Linked DNA regions of Bombyx mori. The protein of the gene in region 2 purifies or fractionates together with the protein of the main gene of each other region. This does not show direct contact. Links are inferred from orthologs where the notes say so. Each region holds a gene or a part of one and is shown on either strand. Other genes may lie near its edges.

Region 1 (3,836 bases), on a different chromosome or scaffold from region 2:
ATCGGTACATTAGGAAGATAACTTAATTTTCAAATTATATTTTATATAAATACTACATTCATTCTTTGAAGTTCGAAGTCTTTGAAGTAAAGCCAGAGATGCAATAACCACCGAAAAAACCCTTTAAATACAAGTGAACAATACATTTCACTAAGCAATTGACTCATTAGGGTCAGCGTAAATTTGCGACATTTGTTAATTCATAAAATAACCATTCACTAAACATGCCTGACGTGATATAACTACAACAAAAAAGCTTCAATAAATTACTGATGATTATTATCGTTCATTCCCTATTCTATGTAGATGTCCTCAATTGGGTACGCTGTCTCGATAAACTTCTGATAAAATCTTTGAAAAGCTCTCCTGAAAAAAAAAAGCAATACAGAAATTGATTAATTGATTAATTAGTCAACGGAGAAATTGGGTCGCGTTTCCGATCCGGTGGTGGATTCTGCGAAACACTGCACTTGCTAGGACCAGTGTTAGCAACACTTCCGGTTTGAGCCCCGTCAGCTCACCTACACGTTAGGGTAAAGCTGAAATAGCCTCTCAAGTCTATCAGCACAGGTAGGGAAAAAAAAGGAAAAATCTTGGAGTTCTGTGAGTAAGTTCCACAGGAAGTCCTCTGAGCAGTCGTTTGAGCTACTAATACCGTTTTTACCATCGCACCAACCGACAATGCAGAGTAGCAGAGTGCATTCTTACTGCTGAAACTATTTTAAGACATCCTTTTTACTTCGTACTACGCTCCGTACATTCGAGAGCTATTATACGACCTTTCCTAGTAGTAATTCCCGATTCTTTCTATTAGCATTAAAACGCCATTTTATTATTTTATCTATTGCAAGCTTTAATGGCAAAAGTCGTTCGTAAGCCTATATTAAAAACACTATACAAGATAACCTTTGCCGGTGTCAAATGTGTAGGAAAATTACATTAATAGTATGTACCTAAATATGAATTAAGGTTCTTAATAAAGGCTTCTTTACCTTTATATTTATACTAGTTTTCAAGTTTTAATGCTGCTCTTGATAAAAACTGTTGCGTTGTAGAGTGAGTTTATTAGTTACTAGCTCACATTCGTTTTTAAAGCAGGACATAAGATGTACATTGTCTTACCCGACTGCTTCTGCGACTGGCCTGGTAGACTCCTGTCCTCGAAATACGTGGCAAGCGAATCGTTGAAGGGTCGGGTGTTTTGTGATGAAACCCAGGTAACGATGATCTCGAGGATGGAAAGCGCAAAACGATACGTTCTTCAGCGAGTAAAAGTAATCGATACAGGGTCCGTTGCGATTTCTCTGTAGTACACAAAGAGTAGAAAACAATCAATTAACAAACCAGTCCAGTCAGATTACATTAGGTTTTATAATATAAATTTCCGAATTTGGCATTCCAAATTAAACAAGCAGGATTGTGGTGTGCGCTGGGCAGAGTCATAAGAAGACTATACCGTCGCTGGTTTCGTAAAACCAACTTGAGCTATATTTAGCGAAAATAATGGCAGAATGGATTTTCTGAATATGGGAACGTGATATTTCAAATCAGCACAGCCTACAGAAATACAGTTGTAGTTTTTACATAATATTTCTTTTTATATATTTTTTGGCCCTAGGAGATTTAAAGTAATGTAACATATTACTAAAGAAATTTACAAAATTCGTATGCAAACGTGAATAAAAAATTACTGGCGGTCGGACGTATTGTCAGGCTGCACTGGTAGGAGCCCCTAGTCTGTCCGTTTTTGCCACAAAGCAGTTACTGGTTTCTGATTCATGACCGGGATAGCGGTTAAACTATACAAATGCAACTTTAGAACCTACGTGTGAAGGTAGGTGACGGCATTTACGAGGTGATTGATATCTATGGCTTCCGATAACCACTTAAGCTGGTGGGTCGTGAGAGCGTACTATGAGAATACAATGAAAAAAAAACAGGCAATAACGATAGCTAATAAGTAGATATTCACAATTCTTGAAACGGAAATTTAATTTGGGAAGCTAGCATAAACTGGAATGTGTACTTTTCAGTTGAATTTTTTAGTTTACCTTTAGTATCTAATGTAATTTATAGTATGGTATGTTATTCATTATGAGATGCTATTTATCAGCAATGTGAAATAAATCCCAGAGCATGTGTTTTAACTCATCAGAATGATTGGCAAGGTGAAAAATAGATTCGTTCGTATTTAACTCGTAATCTATGTTTCCTCGACGAGAATGTTTTCACTTGTTTGCCATAAAAAATGTAATACTGAAATCACCGGTTTGTATGATCATGAAAAAGTGTTGCTTCGAAATTGTTGAGTTTAATTTACTGAAATATGAAATTGATATTGAAAAGTGTACATATTTATGTAAACTGCTGAATAAGTAGAGATTAAAAACTAAAATATCATATAGTAAACCTTCATCTGAAGAAATCCAAACCTTCTCTTTTAACGTTACAGACGTAAAAGCATAGTAATGTATGTATGAAGCATTATTATTTGTCTCACATAAACACACGCGTTTGTTCCTTAATAATTCTTTTCTTGTAATAACAAATACAAGTTTCAAAATTTTTATTACGATAGACGTTAGAATGAATTATAGACTGTTTACGAATACCGAACTGTAGAACATCAAAATTGATGGACGTGTTTAAAAGAAAAAACGCTTTAATTTTACATTTAGCACGTGTTGAATAATATTGTAAATATTTGGTTTTATCATCAGAGTAGTCCCGCTTCAAACAAGTTGAACATTTAAAATCGAATGATAATTTTACGATGAAAATATGAAATAATCAACCATTTGAAGATGTCCGTTTATTTATAATTTTTATCAAGGTTATTTGCAAGCAGCTATGTTTATCGTAATTAAAATATATCGTTTTGAAATTCTTTTGAACTTAAGAAATTCTTCTTACATTTCTATACGTATTAGCTGTTACTTTTTAATTTTGAAGTTGAAAGCGGTTTTAAATTTCATTAAAATTATATAATTAGTAAAAGTTCGATTTTAAATTAAATTATTATGTTTCAAATAGGACGTAATGACGGTTATTGGTTTGACACACGGATTACGAATGAAATATAACGTACAGACTTTAAGTATGTCTTATACTTACCTCTGGCTTGGAACGGTCAACCATACGAAGCCCCTGATCAGATACTTCAAGAATACAAGGCTGAATGGTAGGTTCAGTGCTGCATTCACCGACAATCTTTTTTACAGCTTGGCAAACGACACCTGTACCTTTATGGGCTAAAGTTTCTACGGAGCCCATATACCTATAAATAAATTAATCAAGAATACATAAATATAAAGATTACATATAGTTATAAAAATAAGTGTTACGGGTAAAGGAAAGAAATACACACGACACAAGAACAAATATACGCAGATCTCGAACATTTTGAAATATCTTTCTTCCTCTTCTTTCTTTCTTGTACTGATTCCGACCGAGAGCTGAGGTCGGCTCTCGTAATGCTATGTACTACTTACTTGCGGCTACTAACTATTAAGCTGTCGACAGGGACGTCTTAAACTAGGCTGGGGCCCTTGGGCACACAAGAATTTGAGGCCCTTTTGGAAAGTAAAAAAAGCGAATTATAATAACATTTTTTACTGAGTATGACCATTTATTATAGGTAATCAAATACAGTATGATATAAAAATATTAATTATATTAGAATGCTGCTGGTTTTTTGGTTACGATTACGATAATGGTTTCTTTCGGGATTTCTGTTGAGAAAAATATTTCATTATATCTTTAAAGTAAACTTTTTGAAGGATATCACTTTCCATGCCCATAATTGACAAATTACTCAGCCGTTCTTGTAACATTGT
Region 2 (3,836 bases):
GCAACGCACAGTACAGCGGATCGCAACTGAAGGCAGTGTTCGGGCTTACTTTCGAATTAATTTAATTACGTTATTTTTACCGCTTTCTGTCTTAATTTATTATTTTTTTATTACCTCTCTTTAATTTATTACGTTATTTTTATAGCTTTCTCTCTCATAGTGTTTTGATATTCATTTTATTTGTACTTGGTCCCTGTATATGGAAATTTTAATTCGTATTTTGATTTTAAAAAATGAATACTAATAACACTTTTTTTTACAAGTGTACATGCGCGAAAGTTGACCTGCGGCTATATTCAGACTCGCCAAGTTACGTCGGTCGTACTGTACATGTATTTTCTACATGGATACCAAGTTTCAAGTCAATCGGTTGCACGGTTCAGTAGTTATAATGGAACATCCGTAAAACCACTGTAGATTTATATATTAGTATAGATTTGTAAATCATTTATAAATGAGCACGAGAAACATTGAAGTTTTGAAGCCAAACAGAATTGTCTGTCTGCATTAAGGGTAACTAATTCTATTCCAATAGTATAGTTCGCTTTTTAACTTACTTGCGGTACGTGCTAATAGGGCAGCGTGCATAATGAAACATCTCAATTCTAGGGTCAGCAGACTAAAGCACATAAGTCAAAAAACTCTACTTTACAGGAATTAAAAAAAACTATTTAGAATCTTATACATTAACAAACTTAATAATGTTTATTTGAATTATATAAGTCTATAACACTAACTTATTATTAAAATTAAATATTTTAAATTAAATGTGATTATTTAATAATTAGATGACTTAAGTTATAAGGAACACAATAATAGTATGAGTTAAGTGAAAAAGATCAACAATTAAGATATATATTATAATAATATAAGTCATAAATATAAATAACAACTCAATGTTTAATTAAAATTCTTCTTCTTCATCGAGTTCTAAAATATCTGGATCAGTATTTCGTAAAGTTTCCAACGTGGGAAGACTTATGTAAAATTCATGGAAAATATCTAGTATTAAAGGGAGCAGCGAAATTAAATCTTTTTTTTCCTCGATGGATATGGGTAATGGCTGTATAGATATTATATCATCAGTTTGAGAACCCCCTATGGATGATCTCCTTTTCATAGCAACTGTCTTTATAAAATTGTCACTTTCATCTAACGGTTTCATTAAACATCCTCGGCAGACAGGTTCATGTTTACCATGCACAGTAAAAAAGTATTTTTATGTCTTCATTCTAAGCTTTTGCTTTTCAGGTTCAATAGCTCGTATTCTTTGCTTAGATTTATTTTGAATTTCCATTAAAGACGCCAAGTATGCAGATCTTTTTGCATATGACCCCATTTGCCAATATTCTGTAAATATGGCACGCCTATCAGTTAATGGTATACGTTCTTTACATTTCATTCTGCAAACAGGTAACTCTTTCAAATTCAAAATCATTTATTTCAACTTAGATGTCAGTATAACACACTTATTGAATGTCAAAATATAAATAACAATGTTATCTCTACCACCGGTTCCAAAAAAGCCACAGTCCTGAGAAGAACCGGCGAAACAAACTCAGCGGGCTTTTTTTTTTCTTTTTCTCAAATATTTTTTTTAATTCATAGTGCGATCTGATGTACATTTTCCTTTTAAAGTTTTGTATGCCTGTCCTAAGTTACGTTTTATTCTTTTTTCTCTTTTTATAGTACGTATACTCTTTTTTGGAGACACATTAGGATTCATTGAAATTTCATCACAAGTACTTGAACTTGATGTGATTGGAAGTCTCGGTAATTCATAACATGGATCTCGTACAGAATCATCACTAGAGAAGTCAAGTACAGAATAGTATGTTAAGCTACTGACTTGACCTGATGATGTCGACGGTATAGGATCGTCTACTACTAGGTTCTACTAGAACTCTGTGTTCAAAATCGACTGTTGATTTACATTTTCTAAAAAAGGACAAGACAATTAATTATCTATTTATAATGATATAATATTGATATAATTACGTAATTTGCAAATCATAATTTTGAAGATATGTGAAAATATACCTTCATTGCTTTCCAGATGAGTGGATGACGCCATTTCAACTAATTTCTTGCCTCTTTGAATATTCATCTTAAATAATTAAAATACTTAAGCACTCACACAAAACTAACCAACAAACTGTGCACAATCGACAACATTAGTAAATTAAAACCACTTACCGAAGTATTGTTTACGTTATAAATATTTTTAAGTAACCACTTTCTCTAAAGAAATGTTACATTTTGATGTTCTTTATAACATAAGTCAGACTTCTTACGTTAATAACTTTGTACTTATGGTGTTCCTTAGAACATAAGTCCAGTTATGTTTTTTAGTTCGTTTGACTATATTAGGATTTGATAAGGTTGATACAGAACGCCGCTTGAATACGCCATGAAATACTTGAGTTTGATTTATGTGCTTTAGTCAGATTGTGTGTTGAGCAAAATGTAAACCGATGATGTAATAAAAAATAAATTGAAAATTTTGACTTATGTGCTTTAGTCTGCCGACCCTAGAATTATACTTTAGTGTATTTTTTTTACCTATTATATTATACATTAAAAAAAATAAGCGGTAAAATTTCGGTTATTTTTTATTGCTTATATGGGTGGACGAGCTCACAGCCCTCCTGGTGTTAAGTGGTTCTACAACGGGACATCTACAACGTAAATGCGCCACCCACCTTGAGATATAAGTTGTAACGTCTCAAGTATAGTTACATGGCTGTCCCACCCTTCAAACCGAAACGAATTACTGCTTCACGGCAGAAATAGGCAGGGCGGTGGTACCTACCCGTGCGGACTCACAAGAGGTCCTACCACTAGTCTCTAAATAATTTATACAAAAATTTCGTTATCGTGTTTTAGAATTATCGTACCGAATTTTTCTTTTCGTGTTAGAATGAAACCGCGTTATAGGAGGATTACCTGTATCACGGTCGACTTCTATACTTTCAATTCACCCTATTCCAAAAGACTATTCTTTTGTTACCATCAAAACGTGTTTTTCCACTAATTACGTATTCAGCTAAACCTCTCAATAAATCAATACATTCCTTAGACCTAAAGTCAATCCTCTAAATACATTTTTTCCTTGTTTACAAACGCAATGACTGTATCGTGCTCTGTTTTATTTTAAATAGTAGTTTTGAAGTGAAACTTCTAATGCGACTTCATACAAGGTTGCGTTAAACGTTCAACGCTCCTTGGGAGGGGGAATTGAAAGAGACAGAGCGAGAGTGTATGCGTGGCACTCGAACGCGTGCGCGTAGTATATCTGTTACAGCGCGAGCGTTAGCAACGAGTAGCGCCCAATATTTTAATGAAGTATTTAAATATATTATATATTTATTTTTCTATAAATATAAAATTTAAATATTGAAGATGTCGCATCTCTTATACACAGCATTCCCTATTACAAGAGCCAATCTGATTTAAGGATGAAAAATGAAGAAAACCACAATAGGTACTACACATCGAAAAAGAAGTTTCACTTCATTCACGTGCCCCTAGTTGCACGCGCACCGTTTTTTGACTAGAAGGTAGTCGAGTGTGCTGTACCTCTTTCCGGCTCCGAAGGGCGCAGTCCTCGAGGGTCTCGGCGGCCTCGTACTTGCCCTGGCGCCGGTACAGCGCGCCCAGGTTCTTCAGCGTTGTGGTCACTGTCGGAGAGTCCACCTGCGGCACCACGCCCTACAGTTAGCTCTAAGTCTATCTAACTATACTGAGACCTTAGAACTCAATCTGAACGTTGTAGATGTCTATAGGCTCCAATAACCGCTTAACACTAGATGGACTGTGAGCTCGTCCACCCATCT

What was found.
Region 1: the proteins of kinesin light chain (region 2) and JNK-interacting protein 1 purify together in Drosophila melanogaster (affinity purification with western blotting, with the first as the bait; 3 studies listed by BioGRID). This does not show direct contact. The link is inferred for Bombyx mori from reciprocal best matches to the Drosophila melanogaster genes Klc and Aplip1.

Annotation. Positions count from the first base shown.
Region 1 is NC_085107.1:7,548,420-7,552,255, forward strand, and holds part of JNK-interacting protein 1, read right to left. Parts: intron 3,278-3,836; coding exon 3,115-3,277; intron 1,305-3,114; coding exon 1,123-1,304; intron 367-1,122; coding exon 294-366; 3' UTR 1-293. UniProt on the Drosophila melanogaster protein: The JNK-interacting protein (JIP) group of scaffold proteins selectively mediates JNK signaling by aggregating specific components of the MAPK cascade to form a functional JNK signaling module.
Region 2 is NC_085124.1:2,401,089-2,404,924, forward strand, and holds part of kinesin light chain, read right to left. Parts: intron 3,697-3,836; coding exon 3,580-3,696; intron 3,574-3,579; exon of another isoform or gene 2,197-3,573; intron 1,404-2,196; exon of another isoform or gene 1-1,403. UniProt on the Drosophila melanogaster protein: Kinesin is a microtubule-associated force-producing protein that may play a role in organelle transport. The light chain may function in coupling of cargo to the heavy chain or in the modulation of its ATPase activity.